2 linked regions of the Coturnix japonica genome follow. The protein of the gene in region 2 interacts with the protein of the main gene of each other region in a biochemical or structural test. Links are inferred from orthologs where the notes say so. Each region holds a gene or a part of one and is shown on either strand. Other genes may lie near its edges.

Evidence for each region.
Region 1: of the proteins of CASP3 (region 2) and PTGES3, one has a biochemical effect on the other in vitro, tested with the Homo sapiens proteins (2 studies listed by BioGRID and IntAct). The link is inferred for Coturnix japonica from reciprocal best matches to the Homo sapiens genes CASP3 and PTGES3.

The regions. Positions count from the first base shown.
Region 1 is NC_029544.1:1,698,000-1,705,873, reverse strand, and holds the start of PTGES3 (prostaglandin E synthase 3), read right to left. Parts: upstream 4,658-7,874; 5' UTR 4,409-4,657; coding exon 4,407-4,408; intron 1,296-4,406; coding exon 1,182-1,295; intron 1,024-1,181; coding exon 954-1,023; intron 429-953; coding exon 330-428; intron 145-329; coding exon 55-144; intron 1-54. Other genes in the region: NACA (nascent polypeptide-associated complex subunit alpha), read right to left, coding at 5,563-5,946, 6,137-6,265, 6,536-6,682, 7,105-7,182, 7,296-7,381. UniProt on the Homo sapiens protein: Cytosolic prostaglandin synthase that catalyzes the oxidoreduction of prostaglandin endoperoxide H2 (PGH2) to prostaglandin E2 (PGE2).
Region 2 is NC_029519.1:34,957,417-34,965,377, forward strand, and holds the start of CASP3 (caspase-3), read left to right. Parts: upstream 1-3,161; 5' UTR 3,162-3,271; exon of another isoform or gene 3,272-3,276; intron 3,277-5,541; exon of another isoform or gene 5,542-5,681; intron 5,682-7,164; 5' UTR 7,165-7,183; coding exon 7,184-7,257; intron 7,258-7,961. UniProt on the Homo sapiens protein: Thiol protease that acts as a major effector caspase involved in the execution phase of apoptosis. Following cleavage and activation by initiator caspases (CASP8, CASP9 and/or CASP10), mediates execution of apoptosis by catalyzing cleavage of many proteins.

The DNA of each region.
Region 1 (7,874 bases), on a different chromosome or scaffold from region 2:
GCTCACACAAAAGCCAAAAGAAACCCAAACCTCCAGGAATTCATCTTCCCCTACCTCAGAAAAACGATCGAAATTGGACATGTCTTCATCTGAATCATCTTCCCAGTCTTTCCAGTTGTTGAAATCCACGCTGAGCCAGTTGAGCTGCAGGTTAACATAAAGAAAATGAAAGACAAGCTGTTACTACACAGGATGAGAACTACCAGAACTGCCAACCCAACCAGCAAAGCAAGCAATGCTGCACCATTCAAACATGACCCCCCCACACACACACAAAAGAGGGGCCATCAAGTACAGACTGCTACAGACACCGAGGGGATGAAACCCACCTTTGCCCTCTCTTTTGTTAACCTTGGCCATGCCTGACCAGATTCTCCTTTTCGTAAACAACACAAGATAGATCTGTCTGTTCTTTTATGCTTTGATTCCTGGGGAAAGAAAGACATAAAAAAGACAGTAATTGTTAGTTTAGTAATCACTGACACCATCACAAACTCATATTATTCATTGTTTTAAGCTGTTTAGTTATTCCTTGCCCTGAAAAGCACTGCCTGTTCTTTAAGCTACCCCCAGTACTGTGAGAAAGTTGATCCTTAGGGTGCAAAAGCACTCAGACACACGAAAGCACAGCGTGGCTATTTATCAGACAGCTCCCATTACCAGCAGGTCTGCATGACTCCAGAAATCAATGCCATGCTTTTAATTACAACAATAATTAAAAGTGAGGAAATGCAACAGGTGAAACGGCACCGAGTGCTTGAGGTTGACTGAGCAAAACCCCCCTTATGTGCCCATGGGTGAGGAGGAGCAAACAAGGGGCAGCACAGGGGGAGCAGCTCCCCTCTGCAGGGTGCAACTTGCTTTAGGAAAGGCAGGCAATGTGAATGAGAAAGAGCTGAACATTCTGCACACAGCGTTAAGAACGTGGTAGAAGAGCTGCAGAGGGTACTTACATTTGGATCAATATTATTAAAAAGGTCGATTTCGTTTAAATGTTTAAAGTTATCACTTCCTCCAAGACAACTGGGGAGAGAACAAAAAACAAAAGAGCTTTCAGCAGGAAATGTCTTATGCTATAAATAAAGGTTGGTAACAGAGCTCGCTCCTTTAAGGTAAAGCATCACCTCATCAGCACTGGTGCAGCTGTGGGTATCCCAGTGCTGACGTGACCCAGCACTTACCTGAACGTAAGTTTGGATTTCTCAAAATTTACATTAACATCTTTACTGTCTTCCACACAGAACTCGATGAAGACGTAATCCCTTCGGTCGTACCACTTCGCAGAAGCAGGCTGCCTGCAGGGAGACCATTTAAAGACATTCAGGTTAGGATTTCAGCTCGCCTTTAAAGAGCATTTAAAGCTGATATGAAGGCTGAAGAGAAGATGGGTCGTCCAAGAGCTTCACGTCAAACCCAGCTGGGATCGGTACCACCAAACCAGCAGCATCATGACCCACATTTCACATTCTACACCTGCAGATTCCAACTCCAAGCTGGCATCCCTTGAGACAGAAGGCAGCTCCTGCCCTCCTGCAGCACAAAACACTGCTGGGTTCCTGAGCTTCCATACAGGCAGCTCAAGCTCCAGGTGAGCAGCACTGTTTGAGTGCATCCACCCCACACCAGGGGGGTAACAGCAGCCCCACTGCCAGCTCCCATCACATCCAGCCCATCCCCACAGCTCAACCACCCCATCCCAGTGTTAAACACCCAGCAGGAGCTGCTGTTGCTATGGCAGGGTGAGCACAGAGCTTTGCTCCCAGAGGTGTGTGAGCAACGCTGCAATTCCAGTGCTGAAGTTTCCTGTTCTGAACCCGCCGGTCATTTCCTTTGGTATTTCCAGCACAGCTCCAGGCAGTGAAAGCACATCAGGACACATAGAATAAGGTGCTGCTCTCTGTAGCACCTTCATGCTGTGAGGTGCTCGGACTCAGCGCTGCACTCTAAAGCATTACAGCATGAGAACCCAACCAAAGACGGATTAAGTTTCCAGAACGTTCCATCAGGGTGACCCGCCGTTAAGCTTCCAGAGCAGATCTCAACTCCCACCCCATTCAGCTGCAGCTACTGAGCTCACCTGCACCGTGACCCATAGGGTGCAGCCACTGCTGTGAGCCCAAAGCAGCCCCACAACCACAACTCACAGACGCTGTTTTAAGTTCAAACCCCACCATTCTTCCTGCCTGCAAGGAGTTGGGATTGAAGCTACTGTGATTCAGCTGATAAAGGGGAGAGAGACCAAATGGGATCCACTCCACGGCTGATTCCTGAATTGCTGCTGCTTATAAAGCCAAGGGACAGAGATCCCACCAGCCAGCGTGCTGTTATCACAACAGCAGCCTCAGTGTCCCTGCTGAGCACGGTGCTGAGGCTCTTGTGAATAGCAAGAAGACTTTGCACGTGTTTGCAGTGTCAATGGAGACATCCCCAGCCTTCCCTGCGAGCTGGGCACGTTCCCTGGTTGTGCTGTTCTAACCCAGCCTCGATGCTTGTATCCAGCTTACTCCAATGCAATTCATGTTTCTAACAGCAAACTTCTAGTACCTCCCCACATGCTGAAATACACTCAGTGCAACACATTAAAACCGTGCTAGAAGTCTTATATGAACTACTCACCTTCCTTTCCATCTCTCATAGGGAAACAGAGGCCTTCCCTGGGCTGCTGGACTCACCATCTGAATAGGGCAGCTACATAGTGGCTTCTAATGGTGATTCCTATCTCATGCTGTGCTGTGGTTCACACTGCTCTGAGCAGACCCAGGTTGAGCAGTGCAGGTGGTTCCCCCTCACCCCCCGCAGACCCAGCACCCATTTCCTCCCAGCACTGAGAAGGATGTTGGGATCATTAAGCAGAGCCCAGCGCTTCCTCCTGGCTCAGCTGAGCTCATAGAATGAGAGCAGAATAAATTAATTAGACGTTACTTCAGCCTTATGCCAACATTGTCAAGCAGAGCGTTGTGTGTGTGCTTTGGTGATGGATCGCCCTCCTGTCCTAACCACATTGAGAACAGAGCAAATAAACCTTAAGTCCCACCCAACAACCAACTGCCAGGCACTGAATAGAGCCAAGCACAGCAATGGAGCCCTCCCCATATTCCCAGAGGGCTCCACCATCACCTGTAGAGTCTGGTGACCTTCTGAATACAGACACATAGAATGGCCTGGGTTAAAAAGGACCACAGTGAGCACTGAGTCCCAACCCCATTATGTGCAGGGTCACCAACCAGCTGCCCAGAGCCACATCCAGCCTGGCCTTGAATGCCTGCAGGGATGGGGCATCCACAGCCTCTTTAGGCAGCCTGTTCCAATGCATTACCACCTTCCTCCTAAAATCCAACCTAAACCTTCCCTATCTCAGTTTCAAACCATCCCCCTTGTCCAATGAGGATGGCAATGATCACAGCAGCTCTGTGCTGGGTTGAGAAGCCCCCTCACCCCTTGGTAGGCTCCGTTGGGGGGGGGGGGGATCCTCAGCCCCTGTGCCCCCATATTGAGCTCAGATCACACCAGGCACAACTTGAGGCCATCAGGATGCCCCCAAAGCTGCCCACGTGCTTTTTCTCTTCCCCATTCAACACACTGGGAGGACACATCCCATCCTGGAAAGCACATTGACAGCCCGGATGGCTGCAGGCATCATCTGCTGGACAAAGATCCTCACCCCCCATAGAGGATCACGAGAAACCCTCTTATCTCCACAGCCAGCGTGACGAGTTTTGCTCCCCATTAACTCCTTTTGCATTAACTCCTTTTGCTTTCATCTCCCAGCACCACGTGGGAGCTGCAGGCCGTGAGAACAACCCCAGGCATCGCAATGCAGCAGCGCTGAGCTCTGGGGATGATGCAGCCTTTAAGGTTACACGGAGCTCTCAGCTCTGAGACTCTTTGCTCCTTCTAAGTCCCATTCAGCAGCCCTAGAGCTCAGAGTGATGGCGGTGATGGCCACAGTGATCAACCCATTGGATCAATGAGAACCGGCGGGTCTCAAGTCACGGGGTTTGGGGCAAATAACACCGGGAAGGTGCCGCTGTTTGCATTCACTCCAATCACTGCATGGAGCTGAACCACTTAGGGCACAACACATCGGGCTCAGCGCTCAGCCCGGCCCGGGGCTCAACCGGACCCGGGGCTCGACCGGACCCGGAGCTCAGCCGGACCCGGAGCTCATCCCGTCCCGTCCCGCAGCCCCGTCCGTCCCCGCCCGGTTCCCATTCATTGCCCGCCGTCTCGCTGCTCGCTGCCCCGCACCGGGACAGGCCTCATGTCGCGGCCCATCCCGGCGCTGATCGCGTTGCTCCGCTCCAGGCCGCGGCCTGTTCCCATGTCGGTGCCCGCCCCCTCCGCCGCTCACGGTGTAGGCCCGGAGCGCCCCCCCCACACACACACAACCCCCCTCAGGGCCTCACATGGCGAGTGGCGGCGGCGGCGGCTCCAGTCGTTGGGGGGACACGGCCTAACCCGGCGGGTGGCGGCGCTGTGTCTCTCGGTGTGTGTCGGTGTGTGTCGGTGTGTCGGTGTGTGTCGGTGCGGCCCGTTGAGCTCCGGGCGCTCCGAAGGCTCCGGGCTCGGCGCGGCCTCGGTTCCCACAATGCACCGCGCGGCGGCGGCGCCCAACGTTGGTGACGCAGCAAAATACCGCCGCGCCGATTCGGCCGCTTCACTCTGCGCATGCGCGTGTCCCGCGTGTCGCCTCCGGCGCGCGGCGCTTCCCGCCCTCCCCTCATTGGCCACGCCCCCTCCTCCCTTCTAGCAGCTTCTCGGCGCGCATGCGCACTGCGCTGAGTGGGCGGAGCCAGTGGTTACCATGGAGACATGGGGGGGGGGCAGCGGCCTGTAGGCGCGCCTGAGAGAAGTTGAGGCCTCAGTCAGTGCGGCTCTATCAATTAAGTTTTATTAACTGATAGAAACAAAGTACAAATGTTAAATGTAGGTTTTCCTTTAAGTCTTCTCTGAAATAACCAAAAAAAAAAAAAAAAAAAAAAAAAAAAAAAAGAAATATAGTAATAGGTTCCCTCTCCTGCCGTTCGGCTCTACACGTCAATCTCCTGAGGAGAGAAAAAGAGGCGTCAGTAGGCCCCAAAGGCGACAGTAGGCCTCAATGGGGGCTGTAGGCCTCAATGGGGGCTGTAGGCCTCAATGGGGGCTGTAGGCCTCAATGGGGGCTGTAGGCCTCATGGCGGAGTAGCCCCCATGGCGGCAGTAGGCCCCAATGGCATCAGTAGGCCCCAATGGCATCAGTAGGCCCCAATGGCATCAGTAGGCCCCAATGGAGGCAGTAGGCCCCAATGGCGGCAGTAGGCCCCAATGGCATCAGTAGGTCTCTGCAATGGGGCAGTAGTGCGTCCAATGGCATCAATAGGCCCTCAATGGCGATTTCAGTAGGCCCCAATGGCATTCAGCAGGTCCCCAATGGCATCAGCAGGCCCCAATGAGGCAGTAGGCCCCAATGGCGGTAGGCCTCAATGGCGGTAGGCCTCAATGGCATCAGTAAGGCCCCAATGGTGGCAGTAGGCCCCCAATGGAGGCAGTAGGCCCCAATGGAGGCAGTAGGCCTCAATGGCATCAGAGGCCCACAATGGCGGCAGTAGTGCCCCGAATGGCATCAGTATGGCCCCATGGCGGCAGTAGGCCCCAATGGAGGCAGTAGGGCCCAAATGGAGGCAGTAGGCCCCAATGGCGGCAGTGCGGCCTAGTGGTAGGCCTCAAACAGCAGAGGTGGGATGTGGGATATGAGATATAGAATGTGGGATATGAAATGTGGGTTATGGGATATGGGATGTGAAATGTGGGATGTAGGCCCCCCCCCAGCACACAGCAGCTCACCATTATAGCGTTTACAATGTCGTTGCTGTTGTTCTTCAGGGCACGGACCGCCTTCGCTCTGGACACGTTGGCCTGGGACATGACCAGCTCGATGTCTTTCACCTCCACACCGGTTTCATCAACCTAAAGAAGCAGCGTCCAGCTCTGACTGCAGCTCAGCACAGTTTGCTCCTTGCAGCCCCCAAGGATCTGCTCCCTTCTGCCATTGAGGCAGATGGAGAGCTGCATGTCTGCACACACATCCTGCTTGGCCGCCCATCAGAGGCAGGAGTGGATGGGGAAGCCCTACAGGGCCGTCTGGGGAAGGGCTCACCTCTTCTTCCTCGCTCTCCTCCTGCACGGTGGGGGTCTGTGTGTTTTCCTGGATGTTTGAGACGGCTTCTCCTTGCACTTTGAACTTCTCGGCAGCCGCCAGCTGGGCCTGCTGGGACAGATCTTCAATCTAGAAGAAGGAAAGAGCAGAAGTGAGGCCAGGTCCATGCAGTGTGATGGCGGCACACAGGCTCAGATGGGGGAGGCTGAGCTTGGCAGCACCCACACGCAGCAACCCCGATGTCGGTGTGGGTTGTGGGCCTCCCTGCACCACCCCAGGGCACAAATAGGGGTGTAGGCAGCAAGAACAAACCCCCACCACCCCTCACAGCTCTGCAGTCTGCCCCCTGTTGCTGTGAACACGGAGGAGTGTGGCTGCCTGGCACGGCAGTCAGCTGACCTTTGCTTCTCCAAAGACTATATAGGTGTCTGATGCTGGGCTCTTGTACACATCAGGTTTTGTGATGACAAAGAGGATGTTCTTAGATTTGCGGATGGTGACTCTGGTTACTCCTGTGACCTGGCGGAGGCCGAGTTTAGACATTGCCTGAAAAACAAATGAGAAAGAGAAGTGAAGGGATGAAAAGGTACTGACACAGCTCAGCCCGTCAGTTGTGTCCCCTCATCAGTCATTCTCAGGTTTTCAGACTGACATAGCACAGTCTGGGAGGAAACTTCTAAGTCCCATCCACGTCATGGATCCACATCATCCATGGATCCATGGAGCCACTCCAGACAAAAGGATTTTGCTTATGAACAGGGACATTCCCTCGCCTAGGGGTCTAATGAAGGCAAAAAGTGATATGAACCTCTTGCAGCTCCCACAGGCTGCAATGCTGGGCTGGGAGGTGAGGAGCTGCTGCCTTGAATGGCTTCCCAAGGCAAACACCAGGCACTCGAGGGTAATATGCAAGACCCCAAAGCCACAGCTTGTCCACATACACATCTGCCCACTCGCCTTCCTCTTACCTTCCGTGCTTTCTTTTCACTCCGGCTCTGTTTTGCTTTGCTAACAGGTTCTTCATCTATTTCAGCTGCTGCTGCAAGCTGCAAGGAGAGCAAACAGGAGAGTGCTGTGACAACCATACAGAGCTGGTGGGGTAAAGGGCATATATCTGTCCCCACAGGACACGGGGTGGCTGGTTTGCACCCCTCCCTACCTGTGCCTGCTGTGTTGTGGCCTGTGTGGAGTCGTGCTCTTCAAGCTCTGGTACAGACTCATCGCTGTCAGACTCTGTTCCAGACCCTGCAGAAATGAATGTCACAGTTCTCAGCTCAGCACCTTGCCAGGAGCTTCAGGCAGCTCCAGGGGACACAGTAAGCTCATGGAACACTAATGCCTTAGTGTCAGCTGTTGCTGGTGATTTGAATTCCAAGTGAAATGCATTTCCAGTTGGTGTGCTTGAGTAACACCTGGTGGGAAGAGCTTTGCAGCCATGAGCAGGGACAGCAGTGGGCCAGTCAGAGCCACCCTGCCTCCTCCTGGCTCTTGCCATGGTGGAAGATGCCCAAGAGCAGCCAGAGAAGCCACACCAGGGGCCAGGCAGTGCTCTGTGCCCAAAGACTCAGCCCAACTCCAATGCTCCAGGCCAGAGCCACGGCCCAGTGAGTCAGCAGCAATGCTCTCAGAGCTCCTCAAACCTGTTCAGCTGCAGGCACTGCGGGAGCTGAGACACGGCACGGAACCAAGACCCAGCCCACCAGGCCCTTGGGGCTGCTGCACCTCTCTGTGACTCGAT
Region 2 (7,961 bases):
TGTGGGGAAAAACATCACGTGGGTTCCCGATTTGAGTAACTCTGAGCTTTAATCTCAAAGGAAAAACAATATGAAATCCAAAGCTCCTTTACTTGCTGCCAACCCTTGCTATTGATTAGCATTTTCATCTGCTTTACAACCTCACGTTCTATATCCTTTCTTGCTGATTTAAACAGCAGTCCTACCTGTTATCAAGAAGCAGCACGTGATGCTGCAGTGCTTGCTATCACACAACCTTTAAACTCATAGTCATATAAAGTAATCCAAATGCTACTAAGGAAGGTAGTAAAGCAAAAAAAGAATACATGAACATGACACATGTATAATTATTTTTAAATTTTATTAGCTTTTTTTTTTTTTCTCTGGGAAAATTCAGTGCCCCTCAGCAATTCTGCAAATGGGTAAAGCCCTGCTAAGAAAACACGTGTATGGGAACTGCTGGGCCACAGCCTGAACCAGCTGAGCAGCTGCTTTAGGGGTGTAGCCGGCCCTGGGAGCACAGGTGGAAGCAATTCACTTGTGTGACTGGAAGGGGGCAGAGCCTGGCTCCACCTCTCCCTAACCTCATTTAAGGGCTGGCAGCCACAAGGGAAGGATCTCTACTTGGAGATCATCTCCTTTGGAGTGTTTGGTGAGCCCTGATCCTCAGAAAGGGGTAAGTGATTCCTTCTTTATTACTGGATTGTATCTGCTATCTATTTGTTGGGTTTAAAGCAACTATACCTGCTGCTGCCTTACAAGCAGGAAGAGGAAGAAGTAAAATAGAAAAAGAAAACCCACAAAAAACCTTTGGAAGTCCACCTTCTGTTCTTCCTGGCTCAACCACTATCCAGCCCTTAGATCTCATAACTACATGGCAGCTGCAATCCAGGGTAAAAAATGAAACTAGTTGTATTCAGAAGCATTCATACCTTTAACAACATCGATCCCCAAGGTGAATTCACATTTAAATATCCTTGTGGGCCTCAAAGACCAAGTGTTAGGTTTTCTGAACCCCCTTTCTGACTTTACTATAGAAGAGTTTCCTGGATGCATGTTTTGATAGCTCAGTGCTTATGTCCAATCTAAGTGACAGAGTACTTACTGATTTCTTTTATAGGGTCAAACATGTCTACAGATACTATCAGTCTGCTGACATACTAATTTCTTCTACTCCTTTTAAGGCTGTGAGGTTTCTTCTTGGAAATGGAAAGAGAAATCCTACCAGCAGTCAGCATTTCTGAGAAGTATTAGCAAATCTTTGGTTTCGCTTTGCTGATGGCCCTGCTGTAAATGAAAATGAAATGGGTACCAAAGCACAACAGATATTCCCCTAGATCACAACCTTCCCATGGGCAGAGGTTGATGGTTCAGAGATCTATTGCTGTTACTTCAGTCCAAACAACTGTTGGCTTCTCAGCAGTCCAACATGTCAGGTTTTTCCTGTGTCCACTATACCTAACTAAACACATCTATCTACAGCACGTAGATTTATATGACTTAATGGACGTGCATTTCATTTTCCCCCTTTGATGGAAGACCACCTCTTTTAGCGATGAGAACAGTGGAGTTCTTAACTATTTATACCTTAGCTTTGCGGTGGTGGTTTTAAATAAGTGAACTTGCTATTTCAGATGTGACAAACTTCTCCCTCTTGCTACAGACAACAGGAAAAAATGCAGCCTCTGCACCTGCTGGGAAATGAAGCTCAGACATGCAAATCAGCCACTGTTTAAAATAAGGCCTTTTGTTTGCGTTGGCCTCCTGGCCTACATGACTCAAGCTGTGTAGCTCTGTGCTGGAGCTCCCATCACCCAACACCAAGAAGTTCATCCAGCCTTAGAGGAGTATATTAGATAAGCTTTCTCCCTAGTGAAACATTTTAGTGTGTGAGATTGTCTTGATTGTCTTGATGCTGAGCTGACCTGTGGCACACTGAGTGCTGCTCATGTTTCCACAGCAACAAGGAACATCACATAGAATCATAAGATGGCTTGAGTTGGAAGGGACCTGAAGGATCATCTAGCTCCAACCGATATGCTGCAGATAGGGCTGCTAACTGCTAGACTGAGCACTAGACCAGGCTGCCCTTGAACACCTCCAGGGATGGGGCATCCACAGCCTCTCTGGGCAGGCTGTGTCAAAGTCTCACCATCCTTTCTGTGGAAAAACTTCCCCCTGACATCTAATCTAAATCTTTTCTCCTTTAGTTTAAGACTCTTGTCCCATTTCCCCTTGTCCTATCACTACGTACCCTTGTAAATAGTAGATTTCCCTCCTGTTTATAAAGTCTCTCTCCATACTGGAAGGCTGTAATAAGGTCTCCCTACAGCCTTCTCCAGATTGAACAAGCCTAGTTTCTTCAGTACCCCCACCTTCATTCCTCTCAGCATCCTTATGTGCCTCCTCTGGGCCCTCTCTAAAAGTTCCACATCTTTCCTGTGCTGTGGGCCCTAGACCTGGACCCAGGACTCCAGATGGGACCTCAGGAGGGCAGAATGGAGGGGGACAAGCCTTTCCCTGCTGGCCACTCCTCTTCTGATGGAGCCCAGGATGCTGCTGTCCTTCAGGGCTAAAAGCACACACTGCCGGCTCATGTTAAGTCTTCCATCTAACAGGATCCCTAAGTCCTCAGCAGAAGGTGAGCTGGAAGGTACTGATGGAGCTGGAACTGCAGCACAGATCCCATGTGCTACTGCAGAAGGTGGGCGCGGAAATGTTCCTAGGAACAAGCTTGGCCTCCACCTGGGGATCAGCTGCAGTTATTAATCATGTAACTGAGAAAGATGAACCCACGTTAAGTGACTGTCCTATTTCACCCATCTCAGTACTTCTGCATCCACTTAGCGCCCTGAAATCAGGGCAGCCTCACTTTGGTGAGGCTCTTTGCAAATGCCTCGAGCCTTTCACTTTATGAGCGGCCGTTCTGACCGTCAGGACTGTAATGTCTCCCAGCAGACAGCAGTGCAGCAGGGCGCAGTTTCGGACACGGCCGGCACGTACTTACAGAGCAGAGCCCGGACTTGGCCCGCAGGCAGCACTCCCTCACCCGGCCGCCTGCTCTCTGGCAGCGATCATTCCCGCATCGTTCCCGCAGTGAATCACAGCTTCGTGTGCCGTGGCCGTGGCGCCGAGACCCGCCGTATCCCGCCACTCCGAGTCCCGCGCGCTGGCGTTCGAACGGCGGCCGTTGTGAGGCGGGGCCGTGCCGCGGGGCGGGGCTGGCTGCTGGCTGCTGCCGGCATTGCGGCCCGTTGGCGGCGGAGCGGGCGGCGGTGCCGGAGGTGAGGAGGTGAGGTGAGGCGGGGCAGAGCTGGCTGACCGGAGGGTGGGGTGGGGTGGGGTGGCAGCCGAGCTGCGCGGCCCCGCGGCGGCGGTGCGGGGTGAGGCGGGGCGGGCTGCGCTTTGTTCCCTCGGAGCGCTCCGCCATGGCGGCACTGCGGCCACAGGGAGCGCAGCTGCGTTAGCGTTACCGCGTGTGTACGAAGGCATGAAACAACAGCTTCCAGCCTCTAACAGCCCCGTGACTGTGTGTTTGCGGTCACACGCGGCGAGCTGTGCCCTTCTGTCACACGTAGGGCGCGTTGTGTGTCTGCGGTTTCTGTTTCGGACACGCGCTTCGTGGCTGTGACGGGTTGTTGTGTGGCAGCTGTAGGGCGAGCTGCCTGCACGGCTGTGAGGGCAGCTGGAGGCGGGTCAGCCTGCGGCTTCCCTTCCTCTCTCGGAAGCTTGGCTGTTATTGGCAGTGTTGTACAGTTTGTGTGGTTCAGAATTCAAGCGAACAGTGCCTCGAATTGAATCGTACAATCGTTTCAGGGACCTCCAAAGGCCGCGTGGTCCCCTCTGTACTGAACAGGGACACCTGCAGCTCCATCAGGTGCTCAGAGCCCCCCCTGCCTGACCTGGGCTGTCTCCAGGGATGGGGCATCCACCGCCTCTGGGCAGCCTTGGTGGTTCTTATGTGGCAGCAGTGATAGATACGAAGATCTGAGTGCGATAAATAAGTCCAGGATGGAACAAACTAAACACTTAAATTTAATCATCTCCCTATCAAAACAAAAGCATTGAAACAACTGCATCTAGGTAGAGCAAAATATGCTTTTGGTTTCATTGCTGTCTAGGAGACGCTGGTTGTTTCTCATAGCTTGCTGAGCATTGTGCCTCTCTCAAGCACTGTGTTTTACCACACTGTACTGCTGCAGCTCACTGTAGGATTACCTTTACACCCTTTATCTCCATCTCGCAGCTTGTTTGCTTAGCCTGTGTGACCTGAAGCAGAAATATTGTAAAACAGGTCATAAAAATAGGCTTCCTGACATCTGCAGAACGTATTCTGCTGGGTTTGTAAAAAAGCTGCTGCTTGTTTTTGCTGCTTGATTTTTTACATTTCCTTGGGATTGAAAACTCTTCTTACCAAAGCTTTCAGGAAAGGAGCATCAAGGAGCAGATTAAGTTCTCTTATTAATTTTTTGAAGCGTTGTCCTGATTTCTTTCCCCGTCCCTTTCAGCATGAGATCATTCTCCACAGGGAAATGTGAATTCTGCTTGACAGAATATGACATCATTGCATTACCTCAACTAGGATGAGGCAATTCTTAGTCCATTTGAATCAGCATCGTCCTGCAGGGAGCAGTGCTGTCACCTTGACTGGTGCTTTAAAGCAGAAAGCGTGTGTTTGAGCGCCTAGCAAGGAAACAGGTCTCTCTTTGTGGATGTATGTTGCCTTTTAGAGAAGCGCAAGTGACTTGGTGCATTAAGGCATTCAGAAACTCTGAACTCTTCTTACTCTTTATAGCAAGTGTTGATATTATTGATAGTGTTGTTAGTGAATCATTCAGTTGTGCTAAATCTTAAAGTTGCCTGTTGAAGTCTGCAGCCATTTGCCAGCGTTTTTCCTGCTGCTGCTTACTGAAACCAGCCCCTAATGGGATGCAGGGTTTTGTTTGGCGCAGCTGCCCAGAGCAGCTTGGTAATCCACTTACCCTCTGTAACCATCCTAAATTCACTCTGTAGGCCAAGGAGTCAAGAGCTGTCCCCATACTTTGGCCAAGTCTTTCTATAAGCAGTCCTTGGTAGCTTGGCTCATGTGATGGACAAGGTGTGACCACATCTCAGGTGGTCATATATTTGTTAGTTTACACTGCCTGGGCCCAGCCCTTAAGTGCTGGCACTGCCGAGCTTCATAGTGCTGGAGAAATATCTGTGCCGGAGCAGGGGGATGTTGGACATTCTTTTCAATGACAGCTGTTCTTGCCAATTCCCAGCAGTGTCAAGCTCTACAGTTCACTGCAACTGAAAAGCAGAGAGTTCTATGCTTGTGTTACCCTTTGGAACCATGTGTCTTTTTTTTTTTTATGTAGGGAGCTTCTAAGAAATTAAACTTTGTAGCTGGGCAGAGTGAATCCTGATCATGGTGCTGGGTAGGGAAGTTCAGCATAACCAACTGGGTTCCTGCCTCATCATATTTAAAGTGTGTTTCTAAAATATAAACTGATGATGCATCTTATGAACTCTATTTCTAAAATAACAGCTTTTTTGATGCTTCTGTAATTTGTTTTTCAGGAGATCTCATATGTATTATGATATAGTTCTCAAGTCTGGAATCACCTTGTGAACCATATTTCTTAATTACGTCAGTGCTTCAAGATACAGTGAAGCAGTAGTCAGAATAACCTTGAAGATCTTTTGGAGCTACTAGAAATGTACGTAACTGTCTCTAAAGAAACAAGGAAAGAGAGAAGTTCATACATACCCAGACTAGTGCTTTTCGTGCATTGGCAATTGTAGCCACAGAAAATACGTGGTCCCAAGGATATTCATGGTGTATTATTTAGAATATAAATAAGAAGAGTAATTATTACTTTGTCTTGTGCAGAGATTTAACTTTGTGATGCTTAGACCTTTTCTGAATCCCAAGTTATCTTTAACTTGTGATGATGGCATTAAACTAAGAGGGTAGATTTACATTAGACAATGAGAAGTTGTTTGGGTTTTTTTGTTTTCTTTTTCATTCAGAGGGCAGTGAGGTGCTGGCACTGCTGCCCAGAGCTGTGGGTGCCCCATCCCTGTAGGTGCCCAAGGTTGGATGGGCCCTGGTGTCTCGCTCCAATTTAGGAGTGAGGCAAGGTTCTTTTGATATGTTATGCCCAGCGTGAGATTAAGAAGAAAAACATTCAAATGTTGATCCGACCAGTTTATTAGAAATAATAGACAGCAGAGGGGATGGGGAAAGGAGAGCGGCGAATACCAAAATTAGGGTGATGGGGATGGGAAAGTAGGCGATAGAAAAAGTAGGAAAAGAGGCAAGAATTGCTTAAAAGTGGGGAATAGTCACCACCTGGATGCAGCAGCGTCCCGTTGCACGTTGTTTCGTTGATCCGGGGCAAAATAGGCGTAGGGGAGAGCAGCAGCAGAGTGGCGGGCCGCAAGCAGCAGATCAGTGCAGCGCAGAGCAGATGGTCAGAGTAGCAAGGTCTCATGGAGCAGAGTCTCGAGCAGCAATCCCAGGAGAGACAGTAGGCAGCAGTAGGACGACGGTGGAGGAATCAAAGGTCAGATACCTAAAAGATTCTTCAGCATGCAGGCATCTTCTTCAGAATGCAGGCGTTCACGTAGAGAGGCATCTGATGACAGAAAACCTCCTTGTTTCCGTAGTGAGGCATCTGGTGTCAGAAAACCTAAATTCGGGGTTTGTACGTGCCCTTTTTATCCTTCTTCTTCCCGGCCTACCTGACAATCCTGGAAGGCTCGGGTCAGAGTCCTGTGAATTCCTCGGAGATGGCCATCTTCCTTGAGACAGGCCCACACAGAAAGACCACTTTAGGGCCATTAATCTGCATCTTATCTCCCTTTCGTAGCTCCCAGACTTGTCCATCTCTTAAACAAAGGGATTTCTCGAACCTTGGTTCCTATGTGTCTCAGACAAAGGGAGTCCTGGAACCTTGGCCAGGACTTGCCTGAACTTGTCCATTTCAGCAAACTTTTGAGGCAATAGTGTAAAAAGCATGGCCTCTTACACCTGGGCAGCCTGAGCTGGTGGGGGCACCCAGTTCACGGCAGTGATTGGGGCTTGGGTGGCTTTAAGGTCCCTTCTAAATCAAACCATCAACTGGAAGGAAGGATTATTGCTTTTAAATTAATTTCTGCCTTGATATCTTATGTTTCTTTTTTGCTTGTGTTTTCAAGCTGATAATCAAGAGCCAGAATGACAGACATAAAAGATGGACCACGCTCAGGGGAAGATCTGTCAGATGCAAGATCTTTCCCTGGTTCCAAAGGGTAAGTGAGATACTTTTGGCTTAAGTTTTCAATGTAAGTGTTGAGGAATCTTATGCTGTAACTGAAGATGAGAGCTGTAGAAGAGATACTAATAAAATTAAGCTTTCAAATATGCTACAGTATGCTAATCATTTATATATATATATATATAAAAGTTCCTGTGCTGGCTTTGAAAGTATACCATCTCTGACAAAACAGGCCATATGTATGAACAAGGAACAAAAAAGCAGAATACCTAAGGTGCAGTTAGATATGGGTTAGCAGTTACCAAGCCATTAACTATAGTTAAAAAGAAATTTCTCTGTCTTAACCTAAGCTAAATGTTCACACCTTTCCTTGAACTGCTTCTAGAGCTCACTGGAACCTGCAGCAGACAGTTCAGTCTCTTAAACTGGCCTTCTGTAGACCTATGTGTGCAGAAGGAGTAGTGCAAGGGGGATTTCCAGCAGTGCAAAGGAAGATGAGCAGTCCTGTTTTTCCTGGTGACATTCGTTGTTCCATTGGCGTAGCACTATGACCACATTACACCCTCCCTGGGAAGATAATTTCCTTCTGAAGTCATTCATTCAAGTGCCTCAAGCAAAAGTTGATTTAAGAGCATTACAAACTCTTTATATGTAAAACACAGTGTGGTAGCAGGTCTCAATCTTGTAACCGCTTGCATGTGTGCTTAAATGAGGAAAGATAGACAGACTTCAGTATGT